Linked DNA regions of Oreochromis niloticus. The protein of the gene in region 4 purifies or fractionates together with the protein of the main gene of each other region. This does not show direct contact. Links are inferred from orthologs where the notes say so. Each region holds a gene or a part of one and is shown on either strand. Other genes may lie near its edges. The genes, in order: phf1, pabpc4, trip12 and ezh2.

Region 1 (7,704 bases), on a different chromosome or scaffold from region 4:
CCCTTTCTCTTGATGTTAGGTAGAGTGCGGGGTGCAAGCTCCCTGCGGAGTCTAATAAACTCTTAAATAGACTGTAATATACCATTTACATCTCAACATGCCCCCTGTCAGAATACTCAGAGCACTCGGTATCATAACCTCGAACGTGACTGAAATTTCTCTTCTGCATTTTTCTTTGACAACAGTTGAGAGATCTTGAGAGAAAAGGCACAAGATTTGAACTTTTAAGCTCACAAGAGGAACAAATCAGACGAGCATTCATTCAACTCCTTCAGCAAAATCTGAGAGTGGAAGCAAACACCTTTACTGCGAGTTCATCCGAGCATCTCTGTGTTCAAAAGCTCAAGCTAGGTGCATTTTTAACCCAACAAGTACAAAGTTCTTTCAACAGGAAGCTACTTACTCTTCTTGCCGAAGGAAGCGGGAGGGGGGGAGGGAAAAAAAGAGTTTTTCTTACACGAGTGAATGTCCTTTCTCAGTACCCAGAACTCAGAGTTGTCCTCAAATCTCACCAGACAACACTGCTTGACTCCATCTACCTGAGAAGGAGATAGCAGGTGAGCGGAATGATTGACAAAACTAAATGGAAGTCTTTTCAAATCCAGCCAAACACACTCACGCACATGTTGCATACACACACTCAAAGGTCTCTCTGTCACACACGCATACACACTCATACATGCACTTACTCTTTTCACATTGCCGAGGTACAGTAGTCCATCACTCCATCGAGCCAACACATCATCTCCTTCACTTACTCCCCCCATCCTGAGGAAAGAGACAGAGAGGGGAGAGAGAGCAGGGCTCATGTGAAATGGAAATCCGATTTATTCGCTGAATACTTTGCTGCCATTGCTGACAGAGGGGTTTATGGCCCCGGCATTTCGACTGCTTCTGAGACAGGCGGGCTTCAGTGCAAAGGGGTTAAAATCTCCCCCCCTCCATCCTCCTCCTTTTAGACTAGAGCATAGCGACAGCCTGTATCCACCACAGTGAAAGATGAGAGTGAGTACACAACCAGAGAGCAAGACAAATGATTACTGCACACATCAAACACACATACACACACAGAAAAAAAAAACACTGCATGATGACTACTGCAATACAGTTTGACTGAATGAGCAAAGATCACAGTGCAGCTACTTGAAACATCTTCCCTGCACTTTGCTGTTGTCTTCCCCTCTCCCAACATCTTAAAAACTTGAATAGATGCATCAAATGACTCTGCAGGCATTATCTCTGCACATTGAGCATTTGTTCCAGTGCATGCACTCAAGTCAAGACAGACGCAGGATGCATTACAGTGTATGTAGCCTTTTGTGAATCAGAGGGAAATCAGGCAAATTTCACTGAAAGCTGGCCGGTGAAGGGTACCTGTCAAGTCGAACTCCTTTCCGTCGGGGTCACAGTGATTCCTGGACAGGCTGGACATGAAATGCCCTCATCTGCTGTGGGTCTCCGCTGCCCAATTACTGCCAGCTCGGATGCGCAGCCTGCGTGTTTGCAAAAAGTGGATGATGTGCATGTATGTCCCTGTCTGTGCCAAGCGCCTGTGTGTGTCAGTCAAGCCGTCAGCGAGGAGGAGGGAGAGGAGGAGGAGGAGGGGGGGGACTGACTGTCCGTCCGTCTCTCAGTCTAGTTTGTCCGTCCTCCGCGGTGCCGTTTCGTCATGTTCCCGTCGCTTTTGCTCTCTCTCCCCCCTCTCCGTCACCACCTACTGATGCTATTAAGGCGGGTTTGTCAGAGCAGCACCGGAATCAAGCCGCCAGAGACGCCATCATCCCTGCCTCTCGCTCTCGACCGACTTGTTGTGACGCAGACATAAAACACCGAGATAGAGTGGGAGGGAGATACTGATAGAGGGGGATCCAGAGGTGGCGGGGGGGTCCTCCGCGAGAGCACCTTCCTGTGTGAGAGATTGACCCTAAATCCCTGTGACAAGGTGGGATTGTGATTTCTGAGAAAAGAAAGGAGGGCGGCGGTGCGCTAAAAGCCAGCGGAAGCAGCGCGCCCGGTGACAGGGGCCAATTAAGTAGCCAATTAGTGAGTTTAGCCGCCTCATTAATTGGTTTCGAACAAGAAGGGACCGGACAAGTTTAGGAAACCGATGGGAAAAGTTTTCAGCAGTAGAAGCAGAGCAGGAAGATTAAACTGTTGCTTATCAGTGCTGATTTTTAGGAATGAACTGAATTTGGTGTGATCGTTCTTTCTGTTTTACTCAAGAGTTTGGGGATAACATTAAACATTATTTAGAAAATACTACAATGTAAGATTTAAAGCATGTATGAGCTCACTGACTTGCAACACAACGTCACAGAGAATTACTTCCCATATAAACCAGATCTTACAATTTTATCTAAAAAATAAACTCCAAAGGGGACAAATATCCAGAGGGTCATCTCCTCTGGGCTGCGATGTCTGATGGCTCACAAAAGATAAAAAACATGCACAAATGCACAGTGTCTCTAATTGCACCAGTTCCAGACATACATCCAATGCAGGCTGCTTCACTGAGTTCAGTCTTGAATGAACCATGCACGTTGTTGAGTATATATGGTTACTGAAAACCTATTAACTGCTTCAGAAAAGGCAAACATCGGGGGAAAGCTGCTTCCAGAGAGTCACAGACACGTTATTAAATTGTAAACAATGCTAAATCACTCCGGGATTTAGATTACTCTTACAGTTAAATTGCTTTAGTCAAACGGCGCGTTTTGCTGTTTTTGGCTGCAGGCTCATCCATCAAATCCAAGGTTGTGTTTGTTTGTTTTTGCTTTCTTTTCTTGTTTATGTCTTGCACATTACTCACACCAGTCGAGCGTGTGGTAACACCGCCGTGCGGTTCAAAATGGCCCCTGGCAGATTAAAAAAAAAAAAGAAAAGAAAAGAAAGAAAGAGAGAAAGCGTACAGTGTCATTTTCCAAATGTGGCCGCTGGGTGGCGAACAAATACCAGAACAGGAACTACTGCAATCAGGCCTGTCAGTCTCATGGACTCGCAGGATCAGAGTGAAGTTCGAGAGAAGCCCCAGAGGTGTGATGATGATGATGATGATGATGATATGAGTAGGATAATAAGAAAGGAAGACCATTTAAAATCCTCATGGCTCGTGGACTCTGTAATGTCGAGTCTTCACAGGTTATAAGCCAAAAAAAAGAAGCTAACACCCTGACATCATGGGTTTTTATTGCATGTGATGGGTGTGTTGTTTCTCAAGTTCCTTTCCGTGTCACAATTTAAAATGCATTTGCCATTACAGTCACACAGTAGCTGTTGTAATCTGAATGGTAGCATGGCCTACTTTTTACAGATGAAACCATTCATCCTTGAAGGAGCAGAGAAGGCAAATACTAAGATTTGACGCTACAGGAATGCACTAAAAATAGCATTAGATAATTGCTTAAAATATGAAGCTAAACCTAAAAGTGTCTAGATTAAATGTCATGGGCCTGAGGGTGTTTCTGTGGGGTTTGCGTGAATACCGATCAGCAGATGAGTTCAGTTGAGAGAACAGGTGTGTTTCTGGGATTTCTCAGTGGGGTGGCACAGGAGTGACCAACAAATAGGGTGGGATTTTTATTAAAAAATTATATCAAATCAGTTGAGCTCAGGTTTGTAAGGTAAAGACTGTTTCATGCATGTGTGTGTGTTGGCTTTTCAAAAATGAAGAATGTATTGTTTAAAAGGTGCCACAAGTAGCCCAGATTATGCCCAAGAGTGTCTGCTGTCTTGGTTTGCATTGTGAATATGGATGTGTATTTGAAGCAACCAACTATTAGAGCAATAATATCCTCAAGGTTATATTAGGCTTAAAGGGGCAATCTGAATTTTTCTACACATTAAGCTACACTGGCCAATCATGAGGGTCAACCTGTGAAAATTCTTGTGTACTGCAGAGAGCCTGCATTAAAATCTAGAGAAGTATGTAATACTCTAAAGCTAAATTATAGACGTCTGTGAAGGTTCTCAGTCATCCAGGTCATCGTAGTCTAAGGAGCTTGGAAAGAAAAGCGTCTGGACTTCTTTAAGTTGCTTGAATTAAATTATAGATCTGCAGAAGTGTTTGATCTTGACCCAAACCTAGAGGGTTCAAGTTTAAATGTCTAAGCCTAAGGTCGATTGTTGAAGTCTGGTAATACAGAAGACAGGTCAGAGGTCAGGCTTACTTTTAGGTTTATGAGTTTAATAGGGACTGCTTTATAATTGGTATTGTAATATATAGGTTTATTAAAGTATTAAAGTCAATTCAATGGGCCTGTTTTTCTGCAGTCAGCGATCGTTTAGATGAGGTGAAGATTTTATGGATGGAAAGACTTTCAAAATGACAGAAAATGCGCGTGTGTTTGCGTGTGGTTGTGCGTACACGTGCTCGTGCGCGGTCACGCAGTCTGCCTGCTGGTCCTTGAAGTAACATTTCCCCGGAGGCGACGCGTACGCGGTTGCGGTGTATCGCTATCCACACGGTGGAACTGCCCGGAGAGACGGATATGTTGCCAAAGCAGTGAATGCACAACGTACAGGAACTGCGACGTTAGAGTGAGAGAGAGGCGGGGAGAGAGGGAGGTAGGGAGGGAGGGAGGGAGTTTGCAGACAGACCAAAGTGCGCTATCAGCTGCTGAAAGCTGGACAGGCGAACAGTGTGGAGAGACTGATAGAGGGGCGAGAGAGGGTGGGGGGCGAGGCGGAGGATGGAGACTCCCTCGTCGTTGTCGGCGGTGACGGTGGTACAGATGGGTGCGACTCTCCTCAGCTGAGCCGGCCACCGATCCAGCAGCCCCGGCGGTCATCCAATGCAGTCTGGATCGAGCTGACCGCGGTTGGATAGCGCACATCCTGCGAATGAGACTTCGCTAACAGTAAGTTGAATTGTAGCTTCCTTCATTTATCTTCCTCTATTTGCTTAATTTTTATAGCCTAGCTCTTAATTTTTACGGCCTTCGTGTCGCTGAGTGATTCGCAGCAGGAAGCAAATGTCATCATCTGTCACTCTACTGTGTTTAAATACACGCGTCAAACTTTTGCAGCCCTGACAGTTTCGGGCTCCATTCTCGTCTTCCAGCCGACATCGAGACTGAAGCTGTCATTAGGACTGTACATTGCTGTAGCACCACCCCACGGCTACATTTATTAAACAGAAAATAGGCATTATGGGGTGTGACTTACTGTAGCCTAGTTACTGCGTTATATGTGTGTACACCTCAGTCATATGTGGCTGTTTGCTTTGGTCAGGCCAGTGAATAGCAGCCTTTCAGACTTCTGCACAACCGTTGGTCAGCTAGATCATATGCTGCACTGGTAATGCTTTGTTTCCCCTGCAGGCCTGCTCCCCTTTCCTCTCTTATTCACGGTACAAACTTGCTTTCTTGAGCAAGAATATAATGAACCACCACAAACCTGCAGTAAAGACAGAGCATTATGCAAGAGAAAGTTTAGTGTTACACAAATTGTAAAGAACCAAAACAAAATGAGTGGAAACCAGGGAGTGCCATTAATGCATTTTTAGACCACACACTTTTTAAGTGCTCGTTCGGATCCAGAGCTGTGTGAACAATCAGATGGGTCATGTGCCTTGCTCAAAGGTGTTCTGAACATGCTAGCAGGGCAGACTCTGCTGTTCTGTTGCTGGTCACATCACAGCCATTCTGTATCATTTGCTCCTGGTAAAAGTCAGAAGAAACTGCAACACACGTAACATTTATTAATACACCAAACTGCACAACGGAGCACTTTAACGTGTTCTTTTTAATAAAAATTCTTCAGGTTAACATAACTGTTTATGTGTCTGTGGTTGACATTTCCATCACCCTCATATCACTCCTACACCCACCAACTCTCTCGCTCAACACCTCTTTTCCTGTAACAGTGTTTACTTGATGTTTATCTTCAGGGCAATCTAAATACCAAAGAGGGGAAAGGGAAATGGAAGGAAGGGTTGCTATGCAAATCCAGACCTGCTGTAGAGCACAGTCAGTGTGTTAAGCAAATCAACTCCAGGATACCATTAACCATAGAGTGTTGCTTTTGTTTAAAATGCAGTTTAAAGGTTATCTTAAAGTTTTTAAAGCTATAACTGATAATTTGTTCAATGTGGAGCTCTAACATGTGCAAAGTATTCACAGGTGATTCAAGAAGACACATAACGAGGCACACACAAGCGTGGCTATACGTCATAAAGTTACAGTTAGTTTATTTATTGAAAATGACTGATGATTACTTCTTCAAACCTTAAGTACAAAATCCAGCTGCCCAGTGGTCACACATTTAGGGACATCACTCTGTACACTCTTACAGCCTTTCCTCATTTTATAAAACAAACATATTATGAAGAACCTAACTGGAAAATAGAAACATTTAGATTTCTCACATTTGTTATCTAACTGTCTAAGATTAGACATTAAAAAGCATCAAAATAAAGAAAATACAAGTTAGTTTTTGAGAAGAAAAATCGAATTCAAGATAAAAAAAATAAGCTTTAAAGCTCTGAGAAAAAAGTACTGTGCAGTGCAGGAATAAACAGTCAAGTTTTAAGCTTTGATCTAAAACCTAGAAAGTTGGAGAGAGTCTCTGTGTTTCTGACAGTTTGTTTCAGATTTGCAGTGCTTAAAAGGAAAACAGTGCTTTTCTATAATGAGTTTGGACATGTTAAATGAGTCAGTTGTGGAAATTTAAGTTAGTTTCTGATGTGATCCACTTTCATTGCCTCAGCTTTAGCACCACTGTCTGATAATAATGTAATTTTATACTTTTATGTTATAAGGAAATGAACATGTTAGTACTTAATTCATTCCAACAGCTTCTTAAGAAATATCTAAAACATTTCTTATGTGTCTCTTGTCTGCAGCAGCTGGCACCATGCTCCCCCGTAACATACGTACAGGTGGTTATAACCTGCCAGGGGTGGAATCAGACGATGTGCCCCTCATTGGCTATCGACCTTTATCACCTGACAGAGGAACCATAAGTGGCCACTCAGGGAGGAGAGCCGCTGGCGCTGAAGTGCAAAGTTCGCAGGTGAATGGTTTTTACTTTGCCTCAAAATGGATGGATGGGTGTTTTATATTTGTATATTGGTGTTCCCAACAATCACAGAAAAATATGTAAGTTTACTCAGTGTAATGTTACCTTTCTTGGCTACCTGTCTCTCCCGCCAACGACATCATATTGTTACTAATCTTAAAATGTTACAACAACTTTCAACATGTTCAAAATGTGTTCTGACCATCGATAAAGGCGCTAGCTACGACTAAATTTAGCAAATAGTAGTAACTGGCTAAATGGATAGCTGATTCATCTGATGGATAATACAGCAGTTAATGCTGTAAGCTAATGCTATTTCCTGCTATTTTATTAGAATGACATTATACTTATTAATTGTTTGTGGCTTAAAGAAACGTGTGAGATTAAAACATTAACATTTTCCCTGAACAAGTCAGGTTTTGGCCCACTGCGCAATTGCAGCACATGCAATGGCAGCAGCCAATTCCTTCATTTGCATTACTTACACTGCATCGCCCAATCTAATCTCTTAACAAGACTGGCCCCTCCCCTACCTTCACCATGCACTCACATTTTGTGTGGAAGAAGTGTCAAAGGTGCTACTGAAAAGCTGAGAGAATAAAAAGAAACTAATAATAAATGCAGCAAAATCTGTCAAATAAACCAACATGTTAGCTGTTGTTGCTGTTGGACCGTGAACAGTAGTAC
Region 2 (8,057 bases), on a different chromosome or scaffold from region 4:
ATATGTCAGTGTTAAGTGTCTTAACAAATGTAAAACACAAAACAAAAACAACCAAACACTCTTCCAAAAATTGTCAGGTACAAGGACGGGACTGAAAATGAGTGAAAACGCAGCCAATGTTCAAAGAAAACCTTTGAAAGACCTCCAGAAAACCCAGTGGAAAAAAATGTCTCTTTGGAAGCTAAATGTAAAGAAATGAGGGAGGCTCAAGATTTTTGCACAGTACTGCATTTGCCTGCTCGAGCCTTATATTGCTGGGGAGAGACCTATGTTACAAATGTCAAAATTTCCTTACTTTGCACAATCACAACAATACCAGTGTCAAATAAAAGAACAAAGTGTTGGGCAAATGCTCTGTATTCAGTGGGTCTTAATCGATTAATCGGCTGTTAAAACAAAAAGCAGACACTCGTCTGTTCACAACCAGCATCAGTGGGGAATTAGTCACATTTCTAAATTTGAGATTTAGAAATCTCAAATTAAAAACCACATTCAGTGCCCTAAATTCAAAATAGCAAGCAATTATTTTTACCTTGTAACAAACAACGTCCTTATCTGACAGCCATCTCATGAGTTCTCAGTTAATCTGGGTTACGCGCCTGCCATGCATGACTTGCCTGGCCTTTAGGTGCAAGCATCATGCACCCAAGTCTCCTTTAGTCAGCTTTTTGACAATGGCTCCACCTAGATGAGGCAGAAGGTGGTGTGCTCCTGTTTATGTCTTTCTTTAATCATTTATAACCAATTTCCTCTTTTGTGCTATCCTTCAGCTCCTTTCATTCCCTGAAAGTATTCCAGAATTATAGTGTGATTTTGTTTTCTGCCATGTGTGACTACACACATCTAACACATGTAATCTTAAAACTTAAATCTCAAGGTTTGCTCAACATAGAAGAAGAGCCAGAGTTAAATTACATGTCTTTCATCTACTTAATAGAAATATATAATTTTGAAGATTGTTGCCTAAGAAAATACTATAACATAAATGCAAGTTTTTTGGTGTTATTTTGTCTACTTGTAGAAATTAGATTAACCCAAACTATCCAAGTTTTCACAGCTTTTGGTTTGTTCAGATTGTAGCCGAGGAATGGCCTGCCAGAAAACTTAACCTTCAAGTTTTCATGTTGTCACCAAGCCCACAAACACCTTACAAACAGGCATAATTCTTATATCCAGCACCATATTTTTTGTGTTTGGAGTCTACTAAAACAGTTTTTCATAATTTACAGTTCCATATAATCCTGATTTATCTTAAACTGGGCCTTGGTAAACTGGGGCCCTAACAAATTTCCCATGTGTGGGACTAATAAAGGTTATCTTATCTTGGTGCAGCTCTTCAGTGTCCCTCTGTCTGAAACAAGCTGTTTTTAGCTCGTCTCCATATAAAGCCACCCTGTCTTTATGCCTTTATGGAATAGCTCTCAAGAACAGGTTTAAACAGCAGCTGGTTGGGCCTTCAGTGGAGTGATTTCTAAAACCAAGTTCTGAACAACCACAAATGTGAACAAAATACACATTTTGCTTCATTTTATTTTGCATTTTTCACTAACAGCATCTTAGATGCGTCCCATCCAGCTGCCGTGGTGTTAACATTGAATACAGAATCATTTTGAGTCAGCTTCATTGGCTTGATTGCCAGCACCTGTCTCCACTATCGCTGCACCTTATTAATAACGCACTTGTCACAGGAGAATGATCTGAATTGTTGGTCCAGTTTGGGGCTCATGATGGGGACCATGCAGATATCTCTTTGTGTGCTTCTTAGTTGTTTTATTGCTGTTCAGTCTGTTCTGTATCACAATGGCAGATTCACCCAGGATTTTGTGGGAGTTTATGAAAATCGAGTGCCTTTTTCATTTGGAAGAAACTTTGATTTTACTCCGCAAGACACAATCTTCAGCTCCTGGCGATCCTGGAGCCCTGACTTTCACAGGCTAGCTGGACTCTCTCCCTTCCTCAATGTTCCCAGAGTACAGGTGTATTGTGATGCATCGACACTAACCGTGCTGGTTGATAAGAGTGTCGGTGGTCTCAAACTGACTGGAGAGGAAATACAGCTGGGCAATGGCTGCTTCAGCAATGGAGAGCTTGCAAATGAATTTGTCTTCACTTATGGTTTTGATGAATGTGGAACTGCACCTATGGTGAGAATAAAGTTCTGTTGCAGTTCTGCATCTTTTTATGAAGCCTTTACCAAAACTGCACCATCTTACAGGTGGAGGACGACTTGGAGGTGTTCACCAACACCCTGTTCTTGAATCTAAGAAGAATTTCTCCCACCTGGTGGAAAACTCCCTCTGCAGTCCACGTGTTCTGTGTTGCAAAAAGGTGTGCTGTTACTTCAATGTCTGCAGCTAGTCACCAACCCTACTTACAGTAGGTCCATGTATTTACAGGTTGAAAAATATGCCAAAGTTTAGCGACACAACGCTTCCTGAAAATGATGACATTAGCATCAAAGCCATGAGTCGTAAGTAATAAAACTCATCCAACGTCATGTTTTAGCTGCAGCTTAATTTGTAAACGCAGTTCTTTCCTGCAGCGTCCTGGACGAGCGCAGCACAGTCAAATGTCTACAAAAGAGGCCAGGCTGTCAATCTTCAGGTTTTGGCTAAAACCGGAACAAATCAACAGGTTTTCATCAAGTCCTGCTTTGTCTCTGTGTTCCCTGAGCCTCGGGCCAAACCAAGGCAAAGAGTCATATTTAACAAAGGGTAAGTTTTCAGTTGGGGGTTTACCTCAACTGTTTTTGTTATGTCTAACCTTCTAATCGCCTGTGATATCACTGCTTTCTGCAGGTGCGTAACCCCACTGGGTTCCTCCACTACTATAGTGACGTTTGTAGCCTCCAACACAGCAGATGCGGTTAATTTTGTTCTGAACACGTCTTATCTCATTTCTGAGGTAAGTCTCTCGAAACTGATTTCACTGATGTGCAGCTCTGAACTGACTTGTGTACTCTTCTCTACAAGTTGTATATCCACTGTAGCGTGCTGATCTCAGGCCAAGGTGTCACCCCTGGCTCTAAATCCTGCAACTACAATGTGATTGAATCAAGGTATCAATATTCACATAATGTATTTGTTTCTTTCTTTTTCAAATGTCCTATAAATGAAACTTTCCTTTCAGATGGGAGGAACTAAGTGGTGATTTGGAGGCATGTGAGTGCTGTAGCTCAAGGTGTAAAGGCAAAAACCGTCCTGGTGGTGAGTGTTTTGGTTTTCTGTCTGAAGGTGATGGAAGACAGAAATAAACTTTAGAACTGACTTGCTGCATGCATGTCGTTTCAGATGCCAAAGCTATGGTCAGCACTGGTCCCTTTGTCATTGTCGATGAAGATGGTGAGAGAACTCCTCTGCCTTCAGTCTCCGAACAAGAAACTGCTAACATCCCAAACTCCATGCAGTCTGCTCTTCCAGATCCTGCTGATGTGATAGTTTCTGCTGCTTCTATTCCAAGAAGCAAATTCAATGCTGGCCCAGAGGGTGTAGTGGTTGTGAGTCAGGACCCTGCCACCAGGCTGACGCTTTGGCTACCTGAACAGGTGCCTCCTCAGTCTGACTCGAATGACACTCCCACACTGCGTTCTTCAACCACAGATCATGAACCTCATCTGAATCCAACCAATGAGATCAAAGGTCAAAGTTTCAGTAGTCTTTCTCCATCAACTATGAATTTGCCAATTATGGTTAACAGGTGGAAGATTCCTCCACAACCAGCAATTCCAGAGGACTTGAAAAGAAAAAGCCGGTCTGGAAGATCTGGGAACTTTGACAGCAAAGAGGAACCGGTTGACTTTTCTCTGCCAGCTGAGATTAGTGTAAAGTACCTTATGCTGATTAAAGGGCCAAATCCAGCAGAATTGGACAAGACAGCTGCCGTAGAGGAATCCCAAAGTGAAAAATGGCTGCAGAATGAGATTAAGCACCCAAACCGTGATGACCTGCCCCAGATGCTGACCGATGGTGCTGTGATGCCTGAAGGAACACATGAAATCCCACCAATAACACGCTCCAAACTCACCTTTTCCAAAGCTGCTGATGGGTTGCAGACGCTGAGTTATGAGGAAGAGGCAGTGGTGCAGAAGAAAAGTCCAGTGGAAAGAAAACAGTTGAAACTAAAGGGGCTGCAATCAACTTTCTTGAATTTGTTGTGGTAAATGACTTGTTTGCAGTTAGCCGGCAGACTGTTTAATGCATGTGAAGATGGCTGATTTAATTGTCTTCTTTTTTTTTTTTTTTTTTCCTCAGGAGGATGAAGAATGCAGAATAACCACGGCTTACTTTAAACTTGTACTTGAGATAAATAAAACTGATGTACACTAATCTGATCTCATTACTTTTGCTTTTTTAAATAAAAGTTATATTTTTATTAGTCCTTTATTTATCCAGGTAAAAATCTCATTTCCAAGAGAGACCTGGCGTCATAGCAGCGAAAGCCTGAAATACAAGTCGCATCCTTTTTTCTTTTTCTCTTTTTTTTTTTTAAATGACACTGCCGACTAAATAAGGCAGACATACTCATTCACAACATTTCGCCACCGGTGCTCATTAGCGCATCACATTTATTTATTTATTTTTAAAGCCTGTTTATAAAACGCTCCATCCTGGCTACAGTGAAAGGCTTGTATTCCCACCCAGATGTCGCTGTAGGGAGCTGGGCGCTGTAGTTGGGACAGTACCATGTGCGCTCTCCCTTTTACGCCGCATGCTCAGTGTTTTTTCTACCCCAAGTTTGACCCTGGCCACTATTTCCTCCGCACCGTCACTCTCTATAAAGTGCCCATGCTTCCCCCCCGCAGTCTCTTTCCCCGGCCACAAAACAACCGTGAGTGCCCAACTCACTGTTCCTGAAAAACTTAAAATAAAAATAATATAAAAAATATAAAATCCACAAAATCTTAAAAAGTGCAGATCTACTTAAAGAAATAGAAACCTTTTAAAAAAATAGCAAAATATTATTTTAAAAAAACATAAACATCAGGCCTCCGGCTTAACTCGAAGTTGTCGTCTTTTTTAAAGGAAACACTTCAGAAGACACCGGTCTTTATCGCGCTGCTTTTTCCAGGTTTGGCATTTTCAAAACGCCCGATCAGCTGTCTGTGCAGCGTCTTTAAACCAAAGCGCAGTTTGGATCCGGATTACAGACCATACCGACATTTTTCTAGCGTTTTTAAAACGAAGCCTTGCGTTTATCCTCTGAAATCAGCGATATGAACACAGCGACGGGGAGTTATCCGATGGCTTCTCTCTACGTTGGCGACCTGCACCCCGACATCACGGAGGCTATGCTGTACGAGAAATTCAGCCCAGCCGGACCGGTGCTCTCCATTCGGGTCTGCCGAGACATGATCACCCGGCGGTCCCTGGGATACGCTTATGTGAACTTCTCACAGCCGGCTGACGGTAAGCAGGGATGGGATAGCTGTGCTGTGTGAGCACGTTGCCTCCACAAGGCGTGAAAATGTTGACATAGTAGTAATGCGTTTCCAGTCTGCTGTTGAAACCGTTTACAGAGCCCGAAATGAACGCAAATAAATTTGGTTAATGTTAATTTTGCAGTCTGAATTGTTCATAGCAGTTCTTTAGATTGGATCAGTTATTTGACCTACATAAGCACGTCCCAGTTCTGGAGTATGGTTGGTAATATAGCAGCCTGTGTGTGTCTCTAATGTAATTCAAGCCCCCAGAACATGCAGAGTTTAAACTGTCCTTAAAAGTTGGCCAAAATCAACAAACCATCCCCATAAATCACAGGCCTAGATTTGGGTATATGAAGTCTTTTCCTACACCTTTTTAAAAACCAAAATGACCCATTTCTGTGCCTATTTAAAGGGCCAATGAGTTGAGTGAAACTAACTCCCATTGCCCTCTGCTGGCATGTTCACTGAAGGCATGAAAGAGACAAGCACAGCTGAGCCCGCTGCACTGCTTGTTGCTTGTTTGTGCTGCTGGTTGTGTGTAAATTCACTGCAGATTCAAATGGAAAAATCTGATCCTGTTTCTATTTGAATTTAATCCCAGCTTTAATAGCTGGATTAGTTCACTCACACTGTTGGGTTATGTGTTATATCCTCACCACTTAAAGCTGTTAATCTGTCATGATACACAAAAGTGAACGTATATGTAACCGTATCAGCAATGTTGTTAAGTACCTTATGTGATAAAACTGTTTCCAGTTACAATGCAGGAGTATCAAAGCACTGAGCAAAGGTAGCAGGTGTTGTGGTTCTCTTTGGGGCCCGCTGACACTGTTTGTCCTATCAACAAAAAACACCTGTCACAGCTTATCTGCGCTCGAGTCAGTTACCAAAAGCCAAAGTAAAGGAGAGGTTACAAGTGGCTCGCTTCCAGGATATCATTCCGTTACAAACGTGAGAAGAGCCAAAAGTTAGAAGACACCATTTGTTACAAGAGTGTAGACACCAGGGGGGAGGGGGTGTTGGCTGTTGGACATTTAAATGGAGTCCTGAGCACGTGTCTGTGGGGCAGTAGCTTTGTGCCTGAACAATACAGCTACTAATGCAAACCTATAACAAAGCAGTTGTTAGTAAAGAGTGTTTCATATGAAACAGAGCGGTCTTCATGCTTCGCTGTGCTCCCTGCTGGATTTCTTAATGTCACAGTTGTATCTGTAAACAAACACAAACCCGGGTGTCGCTCTTCTGAGCATTCTTTTTAAACTTGTCTCTTCCCCATCAGTGGTAGAGAATGCTCTACTCATACTCCATGCCAGCACATACCTCTCAGGGCCCCTCTCTAAATATAGCTTCCCCCTGTGCAGCCCAAAACGTGCCTGCTCCGTAATGCTTAAATAAAAAGTGGTTAACAATAATGGGTAATTCAAGACCATTGATGGCTCTATTTTCTCTTCTAAACGACACATTTGATATATGAGGGCACAACAGAGGTCACTTTGGCCTTTTTTGAATAAAGTTTCCAACTCTGAACCTTCCCGAAGTCCCCGTTTTTTGACAGTGACCGCACACCTTCCCTGAGCGCACAGGTTGTGAAGTACAATTGCAAACCAAACTGCTGATGCCAGCAGACGCAAGGCAGCTCCGCTTTGTTTACCAGACACTTTCAGCTGGAAAGCCGTGTGTGTGTGCGTGCGTGTGTGTGCGTGTGTGTGTGTGTGTGAACAAAAGGATGTTTGGCATGTGCCCACATGATGTGTGAGGGGGGGAAAGTGTGCATTTGCCTGGGCCTACAGATCACAGAATAAAGGTCAATGCAAACATAATACTGCTCATCTCAACCACATGAGCTGATATTCTGATAGTGTTTAAATGAAGGCCTGCTGCATTGCTAAGTGGCATGTGGCTCAGCAGCATGTGGTTAATCAGAACAGGGAGACATGTGCTCCAAGCTAGCCCACTGCAGCTGCCCCCCACACTTTTCCCAGCTGCTTGCAGAAAGCTCATCAGCCTCATTGTCTGCTGCAGTACCTTCACCCCTTTGGACATGTTAACGGCCTGTTTTAAAGCATTTAAACTGTTTTTCTCTTTTATTATTATAGTGCACGTGTTAAAAATGGCTGCGCTATTATTGTTGCATGGTATCAGCAGATAACAGACCGAAGCATGACTGATGTGTAAATAACCACCAGGGACCTTTCCTGTGACCTCTCTGCTCTTCCTCCGGCAGCTGAAAGAGCTCTGGACACCATGAATTTTGATGTGGTGAAAGGAAAGCCGATCAGAATCATGTGGTCCCAAAGAGATCCCTCCCTCAGGAAGTCGGGTGTGGGCAATGTTTTTATCAAGAACCTCGACAAGTCCATTGACAACAAAGCCCTGTATGACACCTTCTCTGCCTTTGGCAACATCCTTTCCTGCAAGGTACAGTTGACATAACACTGATTTATTTATGTTTTTATTTATTTGCTGGTTTGAAATTTAACACATATATTTAAAAAAAAAAAATCATGGTTCCAACAGGAAAACTCGTCAAATTCCACCTTGAGCTTAAATAAAGTGGTCAAATTTAACAGAAGCCTTTACAGGACAAATGTAAAAAAACAAAACAACAACACCTCAACTGCTTTTTACCTCAGTT
Region 3 (7,713 bases), on a different chromosome or scaffold from region 4:
GGCAAAACTTTCTCAAGATTGTACATGAAGATGCAACATCTGGGTGGGGGCTGGCAGCAACACCACATGCCAGTAACTACATCCCCTCATAGCTGAAAATCAAAAACAGGGAACTAAAAACTTTTAAAGACTTAATGCTAACTATATTACTATGACCCAATATGATCTGTTAAAAATAAATAAATCATAGCACAGAGCACAGTTCGTGTTCCTAATCTCTCAATAACAGTCACAACAAAATGTATACTTCTCTGAATAACATTCAGTAAAATACAGCAATGCCATTAACATTAAACCTTACTGCAAATATCAAATTTTACTGAAATGTTTGAGTTTTTCCCCCCACACAGTGCACCATGAATATAAAGCTATCACCAAACACCCTACTTACGCACAGTATAATACATTTTTACACATTGGTACCTTTAAATCTTTGGCAGAACGCACTACTGGAACTTTTTCACATAATTAAAATCATCAAAAGGATCATTTTACAATTTTCTTACAACAGCAAAAGATTCCTTTGTGTATTATTAACCAAGGTCACAGCCTAATTAAAATAAACACACAATGCGGTAGACTACAAATTAATTCTTTTTTGGTTTCAGTTTAAGTCCTAAACTAACTGCCAACAGCAATTATGCTTCAAAATGACTACAACATTGTATAAAATTTACATATCTGATCCAGTGTGCTTAGTGTTAGGGGTACAGTACAATCTTAACGGTTTAATTGATCAGAATAGTACAGAAGTTTTCTTTTTAACATTAGAAGTGAATGTATATATCTAACTCACAGGAGTCAATAAAGTGACAGTACTAATAAGACAATTGATTAACTTGATCTAAACACATACAGGAAGAGGATTTCATTATTTGCTAGACAAAAACCATTGAATCCCTAAATAAATATTTTTTAATTTATTTTCAAGAGTATCTGACTATTTAAGTCACAGTTTAAACTATGATATCACGGATACTGATGATAAAAATACGCCACACTTGCCAAGCTCACTGGGCCATGTTAGGCCTGCACTGACAGTGCATCCTAGTCTTTGTTATTCGTCCATTCTGACAACTGGTGTTCCCCACTCGAGTATAATGTATTAGTTAAGCTCATCAAATGATTTACAGCCTCACATAGACCATCGACCCAGTTTATCTTACCACGTAACTAAAACAAGAACTGAAGTGTCCGATTTTTTATACCCATGATTTACAGAGGCCTATATTTCTGACGTAGTTGTCTACCACCACCGACTAACGCTAGCATGTTTAGCCACTTAATATCCTAGCAAGCCCCATACATTTTAACAATACCTCCATCGTATCGATTTATTTATACATAAAAGCTTCACACATCCAAAAGCGAAGCTTGTGGCGTTTACATCGTGAATCTAAAAAAGAGAAGACGCTAGAAGACTTGCTAACTGCAGACCAGCAGTTAGTTAAAGTTACGCTGGCTAACGTAGCAAAGGTTACACTGAAATGCGTAGTTGGCGTGCCGGTGTGTCAACCTATTCAGCTAGTACCCTAGCCAAACAAATTGTCACATTTGAGAAGCTAGCTTGTTTGTGTTACGAAACGACATAATGCTTACTAAATGGCAAAGACGCCCCTCCAACTGGCGAATAACGATCGGGTTCATCCGAGACTAGCTTCACGTCGAAAAAAGGCAACATCGACAAAACCCGTCTTTCGACAGCGGTTTAATGTAATAAAGCTAGCAGGCTACAAGTAAACTAAAGCAAGCTAAGTTGGCAGTCGGATTGCCAGGACACACAGCTCTGTGTGTGTACGCGGTCGGGGCTGACAATCAAGTTTAGAGAAAAGAGAAATACGTTTGTGTTTCGTAAGCAAGCTCACCGTCTACGATTGATGGGGGTAAATAAATCCAAAATACACAACTGTCACCTAGACAGGTAACGACGTCGATACAGTTCTACACTCTCCTTGCAACTGTCAGCGCGAATTGTTATGTACAGATAGACTAACTAATGTTGGTAAGCTATAAGGATGGCTAACAATATTTTCTGAGCTGACTTAAGGCCAGTGCCTCCCTCTCACTACTACAGCGCTGGCTAGCCTGTTAGCTACTGTTAGCCAGGAAGACAAGTTGACCACTAACAAACAGCGTGCCAGCACAGCGCATGGTTCTTGTTAAGACTTGGGTAAATGGGACACATAACGCCAAACATCTCATTCAACTACCGTTAAAGTATCTTGCTCAGAATTCAAAGCGTCACGGCTAGGTTATCATTAGCAAGCTAATACTAGCCTAGCCACAGCGAGGGTTTCTTCAATGACCGTTCTCTCGCAAACAGTAAGCTGACAAAAAAAAAAAAATAAACAGCCGGCTATTGGCTTTAAAAGACCTCGCTGTTTTCAATTAAGCTGGGCGCCGAGGTGACACCACATTACTAACCCCGTCGAGACCGAATTAGCAGCTACAGGACTGTCACGCAGCTTACGATGTTTAATCAAACAAGAGCGTTATAGCTGTTACCAGCTAACCTTGGCATGCCAGCTAATTAACATTAGCGAGCCCTGTTGTCGCTGGCTAACATTTTGCCAGCTCGACAGGATGGTTAAAAGGATTTGTGTTGAAAACAGCGTTTTTAGCAACACCGCACCAATTCAGTGTTTATGATACAGTTTTGATCAAAATTTCCCCAACATTAACAAGTTGTCTAGCTAGCAGTTAGCAAGTAAACGCTAACTAGCAAAAAGAAATGGCCCCTGATACCTTTTAGACACACAAAAAAACAGGAAAGCAGGAACGGGATTCGAGTTATTTTCGCAACACCCATTCCTCCGATGTATTTCGAGGTTGAATACTGTCAAAATCCCAAAAGACTACAGGTTTAAATGTCAGTGAAAATGTCTACCTTTTGGTATAATGTTGTTACCTATTTGTTCCAGTGTTGTAGTTGTAACAGACAGTGCACCAGCTCCTCTTTTCTCTCTACCACTGCTAGTTTCACATCAGCTGAGGGGCCTACAACCGCAATATACCTCCGCGTGATTCATCCGCTCCGGGACTAGTTTGCTCCTTATTTTCTGTGTCTGCTTGCTTTAAGTCAACAAAGCGAGCGCGAGCACTGGATCGGCTGCTCTTTCGAAACAAAGCTACGGGTTTCTAATGAAGACAACTGAACTATTTTTGTAGACATCCAGAGACAGTCGCTGAATCACTGAAGTCATTGGTAACATTAGCTTGTCACAAATATTAAGTATCAATCCGCTGGGTCGTGACCCTCCTCCTCCCCCCTTCAACAGACATATATGAAACAAGCATATCTGTAAAATTATATGTCCCGCATAACTTTTTATTATTACCTAACATCAATGATAAAGCAATCGGTCCGTTTCATGAGTCGTTGTGCAAAGACAGTTTTAGTTGCTTTTCAGTTGTCATGGCAACAGATTTGCGTCCAAAATGGCGTCTTTGCTTGGGGAGAGACTGTTTGAAATTAGTGGTCAGGGTCCGCCACCTCCAAAGGATTTTTTTCAACTTGTCATTACCAAAAACGAGGTTACGTATTAGGACGTCTTTCTTTATATAACAGACTTTCGAGGAGTAACTGTATAAAGCGTGCTAATAAAAAAATCACTCTACTTGAGGCTAGCTTAATTTTCTTAGCTTTAAATATGGCTTTGCTACTATTTTCTATTTTGCATGCTTAACCAATAGCAAGCTATTTGTTAAATAGCAAGCTATTTGTTAAGCAAGATTTGTTAGTAAGATGTTTTAATAAAATCATTCGCCCTGTTCCAGTAGCATATCGGCATCTTGTAGCCACTACTTCAAGAGTGTCTCCTGGATTAAAGTCTTGAAGTCCCATCTTTGTTTTTCCCTCTAAATTTAGGTAATACTAACCTCATGGAGGATTTCTTTGCGACTTGAATGCAGAGGTCTTCCCCCAAAGCAGCAGAGGACATCTCATCAGGACTTCCAAAATGATACAACTCTACAGTGTAAGTTTTCCTCATCGAAATCATCACTCCCCTTCCATGAAGTTCTTGATACTAGTCTTTTCTAACCTATTTCTGAATCTTGTTTGGGTTTATAATTTGACATCGAAACTTTTCAAGGATCTAACTGCAGGGCTGTGTTTGTCGACTTATCATCTGCAGATGAAGTCGGTGCTGTTTTTGGGCAAAGGATCCTGGATTACACAACAGCACTCTGTCAAGGAAAGTTTGATTACCTGGAGCGTTTACCTGATGACATCATGCTCCGAATCATGTACTGCCTTGAGCTGAAAGATGTGGCACTGCTGGCACAGACGTCACGCAGATTCAAAACGGTGAGGACAATGGTAAAGTACTGGATTTGTTCGATGATACAGAAATAATGCTTTAGTGTCTATTGTGTTTTCCTTGTGTTCAAATTCATTTGTGTTCACGTGTATGTTGTGCTGTGCTCTAACCGGATTGTACCAGCTCTTCAGCTCTGAGAAGTTTTGGGAGCAGACTGTGAGGACCTGCACTGGGTTTAACAGGGACGTTGAGGACATAGCCAATGCCATGGGCTGGAAGAGCACCTTTCTAACCTTTTTCCACAACAGTGATGATAAAAAACAGCAGTAAAACATATATTTAAAAACAAACACTTTTATTATTGTTCCAAAACAAGTAAAATCACACTGGCTCATTAGCAAACTAAAAAAGACTTCAGTAATGAATGAGGGCTTTTGTGTGTGTGTGTGTGTGTGTGTCTGTGAAAAATGTGAATATTCTCCAAAGCAAATCAGTACTTTTGCATTACAAAGGAAAGTCTTGCTTACAAGTTTTGTTTTGTTTCAAAGAGTGTGCGTTGTGTAAGATTCCTTGTAAATGACATTAAATTGGCACTTTGTGTCTGGATGACAACCTGGGGAAATTAAAACGTAAACAGACTTACAGAAAAATACGTAAGCAACTGAAGTCCTGCTGACATCATGTCATACTTCCTGTTTACATTTGCTGGTGAACTGCTGGCTGCGCCCTCTGCTGAAAGCCCTCAACCAGCCTCCGCTGTCTTTGCATACACAAGGCAGCCTGGCTTTATGTGGGATCACTGAAGCAGCCAGCAGAGGGAGCAATGTCACAATGAAAACGTCAAAATGAGTCAGATGACAGGAGGAGGAGGAGGGGGGAAATCAAGTATGTAAAGGTAACGTGTGCAAAACAAGTGCTGTAGTTCTGGTTACCATATCAAGGCCTAAAAGACTCCAACTTACTTATTCTGGATTAAAAGCTTGTGCATATGCGTGTGTAAGGGCATCTGACACAGCGGTCCTACCTACCTCTCCTGAAACCTGTACCAGCAAGCTACAGTAACATATGACAAAGGTACGCATTGTTTTTCTCTGTTTACAGGTACTTTTAGAATCAGAGCTGGCATGTTATAGTGAATGTTAAAAGAATAACATAATACAGTCCTATTGTCATGTAAGAATGCCAAAAAAAAGAAACAAAACCTAAGTAAGCCTTGTGTTATAACAAAAAGAAGAACACGTGTTAAACTGCAGGTAGTTTTCCATAAATGACCGCGCCTCCCTGCAATATCAAATATTTCTGTGGCCAAATGATAGCTGTGTGCCGGAGTGATCTGACATGACAGCATACAGCCCTGAATGGTGGGTACCATGGCCTATTATTAGCCCCTGACACCGCCTTCTCAGCTGAGTCTGGTCTAGGAAAAATATTCATTACGTAACAATAAAGAATCTGTCTCCCAGACCCACTTCCCGAATACCACAGCAACAGCTAGGCCTCACTCTGAGGCACAGAGACATCAGCCACATCCATTTGATTACTGGCGTGGTGTAGGGCTGTGTGGGTTTTTTCATGCTTATCCATTTACTGCACACATTCACAACACCACCCCTCCTTCTCAGTTCCTCTTTGTGGGTCAGTGATGCAGCGGGAGTGACGCAGCAGTAGCAGCAGCCTCCAGAAGGCAACTTTGCACAGCAGGAACCGGGAACCTCTGCCAGAGCCATAGTCCACAGACGGCAGTGACGAAGGGAAAGTGGTAATGGCCTGATGCGGGCTAGAGGAAGAATGGGAGCCGGGTAGTTGCTCTCCTCCTTCTAAACAAACACCAGAGAGGCTTCCACAGCGAAGGGACAGGCCCGGCAAGACCTTCCACACAAACGTTTTGGTAGGCATCTCAAAGTACGAGTGCTTGTTGCGGCAGCAACATGAGTTGTCCAAGGGATGAATGTCTTTGTATGCTAAAGAGTGTGAATGCTTTGAGAATGAGAATGAGGCCTACTCAGCCTTCTGCTGCAGTCTTTTCCTCTCAGCCTTTTCCCCGAAGAGCGTCCCTGCAGGCCGCAGCTGAGCTCACTGAGCATCAGAGGCGAAGAGGCCTGTTAACTTTGTTTTTAAACACATCCTAGCTGTAATGTCAGGGTTATGTTTACAAAATACCAATATGAGCACAGAACTTCCAGTTAGGACAGTTATTTTCTTATCATTTGCAGGCCTCTTTAAGCTTTAGCTTGAGGCCTAACCTCGTAAATCCCAAAGCAATTGTGCCAAGCAATAAAAAAAAGTCAGCCTAGATACCCTTATTAGGTGAACAGCACACTATGTTCATACAGATGAGTTATTATTTAGGTTAAAACAATAAGAAGACCACAAAATGGGCTAAATCTCATAAATAAGAAATGATTCGTTTTTCCAGCATCAGAATCTGCTGTCAGGTTTTACGCAGGAGAAAACCTGAAATTAGATACAAACTACTAAAATATACTGAAACCAGGGTTTTAATTTGACTTCTAATATCTCTTTGTTGTGAATTCGAGAATCACACAGGCACTAACTAAAACAACAGGTGGCTGCTATGATTGGACAGAGCTGTCATACCAGGAAGGAAAATATAAATACATATATGTATATATGTGTTGAAAGTTCAAGGCAATCGTGATCAAGAATGATCTGTTTGGTGTACCGCCCACTTTGTGGCATGCAAATCTCGATAAGCTTTAAAAAAAAAAAAGCTTATAAACTTGTCTGACCAGTAAAAAATGATGCTGTTCTTCCTCTTTTCAACCTCTTGCAGTCTATAAATATTAATTAAATGCAGCTTATTGAAAAAGAGCTCTTAATGGTTTCTGCACACAATGGAATCACACGTGTCTATTGAAAAAGGTGGTAGCAGCCAATAACCTAAATGGTCTACATGGATTAGATTTAATGTTTTATAAAGCAATAAATAGCTAGCCATTCTAGTCTCCATCTCTTTATCATCAAGTTATTTCTTACTCTCAGTATGGGGACTTATTGATACACTACAGTGATGCAACAAATGCCTTCATGGCAGCGATCATTACTGCAGTTTTAGCATGTTATGGGCTGGATTAAACGCTCCTAGCTGTCTTAGTCCAGAGGAAGGTTTAAGTAGTGGTGAGAGTCTAAAAACAAATGTATTAAACTGCTTTCCCTCCTAGAAATGATGCCAAATGAAAGTGAAATCATTTTCCCTGCATTTTCATTACACTCTGGTGCTTTCCACGAGCAGCCTTTGCAAACCATTAACTTTATTTCATTTTCACTTTTTGTACACGTGTTTTTGTGACCACCTTATTCTGTTTAAATGTTACTTTGACATGTAGTAGTTTTACTGTACAGTGTAAGGCACAGACAGTCAAAGCAAAACAAGGTTACTGTGCAGACTTATTTAAATGCAGATTTAAATGCATCCATGCAATTAACTTTC
Region 4 (8,129 bases):
TTATTAGTTTTAATCTTTTAACTTTATGCATCAAGCAAAAATTAAATTATATGCAACATTCTCTGACTGGAAGAAATTTGTTTAACATTTAAACCTATTTTCTGCACATTCCAGCACATAAAATAAAATATTTTTTTATGTTTACACTCACTCTTTCAAATAGATGAAAGTAAAACACAGCAGAAAATAAATAAAATCAAAGACTAGCGGTCCTGTTGCTCTATTTTCACCTGTAAAGCAGGACTGGGGTAGGCGGAGGTTGTTTACCCTGGTGCAGGTGTGCCGCGGCGGTCAGTGGAAGAATCCGCGAGTTTCTCTGTGAATTTCACATTACGTCGTAGTACACTCGGTGCTTGCTTGGAAGTTTAGGGGTTTTTTCGCTGTAAAAAGAAGTTTTCTTCCCACGCACAACGGACACTAATGTTTTTGTCACTTTTTATGGAATCAAACTCAAAATAAGGTCAGTACTTCCACGCTTTAAACGCTGCATGCTACACTCTGTCCCGCACTCCATATATTATGATCTGCAGACAGCTGTTGTCACGAACGTCGCACTCGCTTACGTCACTGTCATGAGACGTTCTCGCAAAAAATCACGGTTTTAGTAACGCAGTAACGCAGCGTTCCTACGTGAAAGTAACGGTAATCTAATTACCGTTTTTGCAATAGTAATCCCTTACATTACTCGTTACTTGAAAAAAGTAATCAGATTACAGTAACGCGTTACAAGTAACGCGTTACTGCCCATCTCTGGAGAGGACAGATGGTTTGAAAGAGGAGTGAAAGAGGCCATCTATGTCCACTGTGAGCGACCATCTTTGAACAGAGGCGGTGGTTTACGACACCAACTGTCTGCCATCTATAATCCAGTTTTGAGTTCCCTCCCCAGACGCCTTAACGCCCACTCACATCCTGGGCCATCTGACCTCAGGAATTCACATGACAAGGTGGGGCCAGGTTTCACAATGAGCTCACCCGAAACCCTGGCTGATTAGGTCCCACACCCACTTTCACACCTTGGCGCATGTGATTAGAGGATCACCAGGGGGTCCTTTGTCCCTCCTTGGGGGGATACTCCCACTGGGTTTAAATCTGGGACTCTCGGCCATTTGACCTTAGAACTGAAGAAGCTTCTCGGATGAGAGGTGAAACGTCTTCAAGCAACTTAAAGAAGTCCAGACGCTTTTCTTTGCAAACTCCTTTGACTACGATGACCTGGATGACTGAGAACCTTCACAGACATGTTTTGTAGTAGTTAATATGTCATTTTTCTTAACATAATTGGTGATATAGGTTACAAGCAAGTCTGGCGCTGAACAGAAATTGTCGCGCTGCTCCTTTATTTATTGTGCATAAATAGTGAATTGTCCTGACAGAATATTGCGTTTCGCTTCTGTTATTACCACGGTATATTGACAAAAACATATACTTTTATTCACAGGATAAAACAGTTGTTTTGTATCACTAATTGTCCAGTGCGATTACAACATACAATATTATTGTCACTGCTACATTTCTGTAATGCGTACCAGAAATTATTTCCACTACTAATTAATTACCGTTGAGCTCAAAGGTTATATTAATAAACGGTTAACGAATGTGTATTTATGACGACGATTTGTGAGACTGGTAAACTTACCTTTGTTTTTACGATGGTCTTGTGTTCTACACAGTGCATTTCAAGGTCCTGTACCCATCCGTCGGTAAACTGTACCTGGGCTTGTTGCAGTGACCTGAAGTTACTAAAAACTTCATGAGTGTATGCACTCACTCCAAGAACCGTATAATTATAAATCTGAGCGTGGTGAAAGTTGGGCAGCACACTGACGTCTTTTGTCCACTCTGTGTGCTTGTAAGGGTCTGACCCTTTCACTCCTTTGATTTTTTCCTCGTATCTTTTCTTTGCCTTTTCATCGAGTCTGTCTTTGTACGGTCCGGCATTATTCTCCTTAGTTTTGTACATTCCTTTTGTGTGCGGCAAAGAAAAACCAAGAATGTATTGGAACCGGAGAATGAACGTTTTGCGGTGCTGCAAATGCTTGCATTTGATGCGGTACTTGGATCGTTTTGCCTCGAGTTCCCGGCATGCATTGCGCGAAAGTCACGTGATCTGTCAATCGCTATAGGAAAAACCTTAAATTAAGACCAAGAACCCTAGAGGTGAGACATGATCATTAATTAATATTAAAATTAATAAATGACAGATTTAGTGATATTTTCATAAACACCTCCTTTCCTTTTTTTGTTCTCCATTTTCTTTAGTTCGTCTATAAGATTGCTAAACAAGGGGGAGGGTGCATCCGGCCTCCTCGGCTGTAATTGGTCCAGCCCAGAGTCGATCATGACCAATTGGCCAATCCAACACCTTTCATTATATATACCCTTCCTAAAAAAAAAATTTAAAAAAAAAATCCATCGGCCCATAAAAACAAGAAATCGCCAGCGGCCCACCGGGCAAATGCCCGGTATGCCCGATGGCCAGTCCAGCTATGGCTTCATACCTTTATATGTAAATATGTTCTCACACAAATAAATAATATGTTATTATTAAATATGTTTAATAACATAAATATGTTCTCTGTATAAAGAGCTAACATCTCCAAAATGTCAGCAGTAGTTAGTCATTACAAGAAGTGTTTTTGAGCTAAAAATCAAGAATGTGGGATACTGTTTGTCGGTGATTTGGAGAGCCCAGCGCTGCTCTTGACGCAGGGGAAACTAATTCTGTCGAGGAGACCTTCCTTGGCATTTATGCAGGTGAAACCAGAGGGAAGACATGCTTCTTCATATTTTCTAGTCTTTGGCTTGCAAGGAAGTTTGTTTGGAAACATGTTTGGCGATGCTTCATCTCCTGCTTTGTGTTTGTGTGGAAGCCCCGTCAAAAAAAAACCTGACCATTATGCTAGTAGTGTCCAAGAGTTCTTTTTTCTTTTCATTTTTTTTTTATACCGCACTCCCCTGCAATGGCTCTGCGCCCCCCACTTTGGGAACCTCTGTGCTGACCAATAAATAAATATAATATCTTTTTATAGGATGTTTATACACTCAGATTCTTTCACTACCTGCTCACTAACAGTAACAACACTATCAGTAGCAGCATAATCGGTTTTCAGGAAAATCACAAAAGTCTTTCTCCACTGAAAACAAAACAAAAAAATATTTGGACCTTTGAGAATCTAGAGTCTTATTTTTATAGATAAGTTAACGGAATTTAAACAAAAGCCTGGCAGATGGAGCTGCACCACCGTGACCACCAGAGGGAGCTGTTGTGAGATCCCACACAGATGAACATTAGAACAAACTGTCCTGTCAGTAAAGAGAACACTGGAGCACCTTACCAGTTATAAAGCAGCATGCTCCATTTCCCACTTTTTAGGGATTTTCTTCCCAACTTTTTTTCAGAAACAGTGCAAAACAAATACAAATAGCTGATGCATTATTGTCCCTCTCATGGTCTTATTTCTAATCCTGTTCAGTCTAAATGAAATTAATAACATCTTCAGCTCGGCCTCCTTTCTTTTTGTCACTGCCATCATCCCCCACATCATCACAGGTCTCGCTGTCATCTTATAAACCTTCCCTTTCACTCTTGATGCTCTTCTTCTGTCACAAATCACCCCTGACATTCTTCTCCACCCACTCCACTCTGCCTGCATCTCTTCTTCACCTCTCTTGTGCATTGTCTGTTGCTTTGGATGGTTGACCCCAGGTATTTAAAGTTGCCCATGTCACTATAACACACAGATCACCATTGTTTTGTTGCCCTCATACATGTTCTGCACCACATTCATATACTTCTCTGCCACTCCTGACTTCAGCACGCACCATTACATTTCCTCTCTTCCTCCCTTCCTTCTCTATACTTCTCCATCACTCTCAAAGCAAACATCACATCTGTAGTGCTCTTTCTCAGCATGAAGTCATGCTGCTGCTCATTGATCACCACCTGTCTTCTTATTCTAGTATCATCAACGTTCCATTTCTTCATGGTATGGCTCAACAACATTATCCCTCTGTGGTTGCTACAGCTCTGCACATCAACCTTCTTCTTAAAAACAATACAAGTACATTTTTTCTCCATACCTCAGGTATCCTCTCATTCTCTCCAGGATTGTGTTAAACCATCTAGTTAAAAAAAAAGTCCACCACCCTCTCTCCTACACATTTCCATCAGGTATGTCATCTGGACGACCTTTGCACTCTTCATCCACTCTGTTTACCAGGTCACCTAACCTATTAGTATTCCAGTCTGCTTTCCTCATCTCCCTCCCTAGTATTATTAAAAGTAATGTATAACGTATTTAAAAATCAATGCATTAAAACATTCTTATAAATTTTATATACATTTTTTGTACTACTCTTAAAGATTTGGAATGATACATAATTGTTTTGTAATGATGCTTTTAATCTGTCTGCTGTGTTTTCTGTTTCCGCTGGCAGTGAATGCATCATGCGGACATTTTCGAAGCGTCATCCAATCGCTGCTTGGAGGGGCGTGGCTTAATAAACTTAGAGACCCTTGCCCTTGCTGGTTGTGGCACTGTAGTCTCTCATTCATTCAATAAACCCGTTCAGCCTTCATGTTTTCATGTTTCCTTGTTCTGGACACACTGAGACGCTCACACACCTGCTGAAGCCTGAGCTGTTCTGCACGAGACGACGCGCTGTCTGTCGCCTCTCCTCTGCCCTTAAATCCGTCGAAAACCTTTTTTATATAAGTGTTTTAGTTTAGCCCCACGGCTGTGACAGCTGTTATACGTCAGAGACACCGCTTTGATTTCAAATGTGATGCATAAATATTATTAACTTAACTGTCAAATTGTGTATTTGCATATTTTGGTTTTTATTCCGTTGACAGGAGAGAACAAAGAGAAGCTGTCCACATGTCCCCGCTACAGGGCCCCCAGCTCAGCTCCAAATTTCATTGGCTACACGTTTATATCATTCGACCTATCGCGTAGGACTCACTGAGGAAACACTAACATCGGGTTCTGTGATTGGCCTAGACGTTTGGCGCCTCTTGAATCCGCCGCAGCCGTAGTGGGCGGTGAGGCGGAGGAGCAGTTTGAACAGAGTCGCTGTTGCTTAGGCGGAAACATTAAAATCCAAATAACTTTTTACAAGCAGGCTGACACCAAACGGTGCGACTGTCCCTCATAGACGCACAGCTTCTGTGTCCTAACCAGCCTTGGAGCGAAGGAGCCGGTTTGAGTTATTTTATTTGCCGGCTCTGGGTGCGTGAAGCCGGGTGTCGCGCGAACTCGGTCGCTCCCTCCTCCTGAGTTAAACTGCTAGCTAGCCACCGAGCTAACGTTACAGCTAGCCGTAATACGGAGCGAGCTAATCTGCAGCACAAAGGACGACTTTGCCCGTGTTTGTCGCATCGATCCGGATCGCTCCGTTGGATGAGGCCAGAGGCTCGGGTGGAGGTGAGAGAAGCTGTCAGTGTCCGTGGCTGTGTTCACGGGGCTTTTGTTGTGGGCTGCTCTTTGTGCTCTTGGGCGCCTCAATCTTTGTTAACTCGCCAACTGTTAGCTAGCTCGCCGGGGTACCGTGCCAATTCTTGTATCCCCGTAAATATTGACTAGCTTATAAAGAAGCCGTCGTCTTTTTTTTTTTTTAAATCACTCGGAGGAGGGTAATGATTCCGATGGATCCACCGTCCACTCGTGTTTTGGGACCTTTGTGAGCCTGTTTCTGAGCTAAGGGGAAGCACATTTTGAGGGGAGCCAAACTTGGCACGACATCCGCAAGCTATCGTTAGCTCGAAGCTAGCTCACAGAAAAAGGCTGGTACAGTTTTTTGATGTATAATTTTTAGTACCTCTCATTTAATTTTCTTTCTTTTTTTGTTCAAGCTTTTGAGGGTTTTATTGTGAAACTGGGGCTGAAGGTGGTGTTAAAAGTGAGTGTCACCTTAAGTTAGGAGATTGTCACATTGATAAAAGTAAAAAAGCTTCCCTCTTGTTTGCCTAGAAGCCTTGCGGGGGCGATATTCAACCACTTCCCTCACTATAAAACTCATAACATCGCCTAGATCAGAAGAATAGAAGTTTGTGCTGCTGACACATGACAGGAAGCTCGAGTTTCACCTGTTAGTCAGAAGTCATCTTGAGAGTCATGTGGCAGGTTTTGGGTAGAGCCCGACCTGTGCTGCTGGGTTTGTGAGGGGAGACAAGCTTGTTAGCTTGGTAGGATGGTGGGGTTATTGTGCTGTTTATTTGTAGGTGACAGTGGCTGCTGTTCATCCACAGACTGTACATAAAAGAATGATATACAGTACTGTGATAAATTAACTCCCCCCTTCACAATTTCTTATTTTTTTCCATTTGTCATAGTTACTTATTTCAGATTGTCAATACATTTTTATTGTTAGACAAAAGATAACCTGAGTAAATAGAAAATGCATTTTGTAAATGAATAATAATAATGATAATGATTTAATTTATTAAGAGAAATAAATCTATACAAACCAAGCTGGTCCCTTGTGGAAAAAAAGTAATTGCCCACTAAACCTAAAAACTTGATCTGCAACTCTTGAAGGTCAAATGTTTGCAGTGATTTATTTAAGTCAGGACTTTGACTAGGCCTCTCCAAAACATGCATTTTGGGTTTTTTGAACCATTCATCATCATCATCGTTAATTTGTATAGCACTTTAAAAACACACCCGGTAGACCAAAGTGCTGAACAATACAACAATAAATAATAATAATATAGAAACTTGGCAAGACAATAAAATTAATAAAAATGTCAGTCACCCACAGAGTTAAAAGCCAGAGAATAAAAATAGGTCTTCAATCTGGACTTAAAAACCGGCACTGATGTAGCCTGTCTAATGTGAAGAGGAAGATTGCTCCAAAGCAATGGGCCACAGCAGAGAACGCCCAGAGGTGGACTTGCTGGTGTGTTGGATCATTGTTCTGCTGCATAAACTAAGTGCCCTTCTCCTCCAGGATTTTCTGATAGAGAGCAGAATTTATGATACCATTAATTATGGCAAGTTGTCCAGGTCCTAAAGCAGCCCCAGACCATCATTAATACTGCCACCTTGTTTGAATATTGATAAGATGTTCTTTTGATGATGTGCCGTTAGTTTGATGACAGATGTAACAGGAATCAAAGTTCTGCTTTTGTCTCATCGGTCCACAGAATATTTTCATGAATTCTGAGCTCACCAGAGACAAGTGAGGCCTGCAGTTCTTTAGATGATGTTCTGTTTTGTTTTTGTTTTTTTTCCTGTGACAACCTGGATGAGCTGCCAAGTAATTTGGAGTAATTGTGGTAGGCCATGCACTCCTGGGAAAGTTCACTGCTGTTCCAAGTTTTCTCCATTTGTGGATAATGGCTCTTACTGTTTTCGTGAGTCCCAAAGAATTAGAAATTTGTATTCCTTTCCAGACTGGTAGATGTCAGTGACTTTGTTTTGCAGCTGTGTCTCTAGACTGTAGCGTGATGTGTTGCTTTTGGAGATCTTTAGCCTACTTTACTTTGACAAACAGGTTCTGTTTAAGTGATTTCTTGACTCAACAGGTCTGGGAGTATTCAGGTTTGGGTGTGGCTAGTGAAAGTGATTGGGACTTTCCAAAAAATGTGATTATTCCCAGTTTGTTCATGACTTAAAAGTGGGGGCAGTTACTTTTTCTGTTCTGAGGTCAGGTAATATGAAATTTGAAATTATTTTTGTAAAACACAGAGTTCACATTCTCTGGAACAAAAAGGAGAGGAAGCATTCAGTTTGTCATCAGTTCAAAGTCTGCTTCCATGATGATGTGGGGGTCCACTCGTGCCTATGAAACTAGAAATATGAACGCTGAGCCCGGTGCTGAAGTGGCCTGCCTGCAGTCCAGACCTTTCTCACCATAATTCATGCTCAACATTTGGAGGATAATGAGCCAAACAACACAACCAAGACCATCCAGACCTGTTGAGCAGCTAGAATCCTTTGACAGGAATAGGAAAACATTCCTCTCCAGAAAGTCCAGCAGCTGCTCTCCTCAATTCTCAGATATTTGCTGGCTGATTAGAAAATAGTTTTATAGCATTGTTGGTGATTTTTTTTCTTCCCTCACATCTGTACAGGAAAACCAAGCACAGTTCACCAATCCCGGTATATCCGTACTAGGGTTGG

What was found.
Region 1: the proteins of ezh2 (region 4) and phf1 purify together in Homo sapiens (affinity purification with mass spectrometry; 15 studies listed by BioGRID and IntAct, with this or other methods). This does not show direct contact. The link is inferred for Oreochromis niloticus from reciprocal best matches to the Homo sapiens genes EZH2 and PHF1.
Region 2: the proteins of ezh2 (region 4) and pabpc4 purify together in Homo sapiens (affinity purification with mass spectrometry, with the first as the bait; 3 studies listed by BioGRID). This does not show direct contact. The link is inferred for Oreochromis niloticus from reciprocal best matches to the Homo sapiens genes EZH2 and PABPC4.
Region 3: the proteins of ezh2 (region 4) and trip12 purify together in Homo sapiens (affinity purification with mass spectrometry; 3 studies listed by BioGRID, with this or other methods). This does not show direct contact. The link is inferred for Oreochromis niloticus from reciprocal best matches to the Homo sapiens genes EZH2 and TRIP12.

Annotation. Positions count from the first base shown.
Region 1 is NC_031976.2:34,397,205-34,404,908, reverse strand, and holds the start of phf1 (PHD finger protein 1), read right to left. Parts: upstream 3,277-7,704; 5' UTR 1,375-3,276; intron 769-1,374; 5' UTR 768-768; coding exon 690-767; intron 540-689; coding exon 458-539; intron 1-457. Other genes in the region: rgl2 (ral guanine nucleotide dissociation stimulator-like 2), read left to right, coding at 6,853-7,011. UniProt on the Homo sapiens protein: Polycomb group (PcG) that specifically binds histone H3 trimethylated at 'Lys-36' (H3K36me3) and recruits the PRC2 complex. Involved in DNA damage response and is recruited at double-strand breaks (DSBs).
Region 2 is NC_031983.2:27,564,646-27,572,702, forward strand, and holds the start of pabpc4 (polyadenylate-binding protein 4), read left to right. Parts: upstream 1-4,790; 5' UTR 4,791-5,212; coding exon 5,213-5,405; intron 5,406-7,646; coding exon 7,647-7,840; intron 7,841-8,057. Other genes in the region: zpcx (zona pellucida protein C), read left to right, coding at 1,725-2,144, 2,216-2,328, 2,397-2,470, 2,543-2,714, 2,799-2,904, 2,973-3,058, 3,130-3,206, 3,291-4,155 and 1 more.
Region 3 is NC_031979.2:12,415,770-12,423,482, reverse strand, and holds the start of trip12 (E3 ubiquitin-protein ligase TRIP12), read right to left. Parts: upstream 3,058-7,713; 5' UTR 2,909-3,057; exon of another isoform or gene 2,888-2,908; intron 2,171-2,887; coding exon of another isoform or gene 2,150-2,170; exon of another isoform or gene 2,043-2,149; intron 2,000-2,042; exon of another isoform or gene 1,866-1,999; intron 1,732-1,865; exon of another isoform or gene 1,600-1,731; intron 1-1,599. Other genes in the region: fbxo36a (F-box only protein 36a), read left to right, coding at 3,439-3,534, 3,869-3,977, 4,137-4,309, 4,446-4,592. UniProt on the Homo sapiens protein: E3 ubiquitin-protein ligase involved in ubiquitin fusion degradation (UFD) pathway and regulation of DNA repair.
Region 4 is NC_031974.2:2,280,951-2,289,079, reverse strand, and holds the start of ezh2 (histone-lysine N-methyltransferase EZH2), read left to right. Parts: upstream 1-5,010; 5' UTR 5,011-5,429; intron 5,430-5,610; exon of another isoform or gene 5,611-5,788; intron 5,789-8,129. UniProt on the Homo sapiens protein: Polycomb group (PcG) protein. Catalytic subunit of the PRC2/EED-EZH2 complex, which methylates 'Lys-9' (H3K9me) and 'Lys-27' (H3K27me) of histone H3, leading to transcriptional repression of the affected target gene.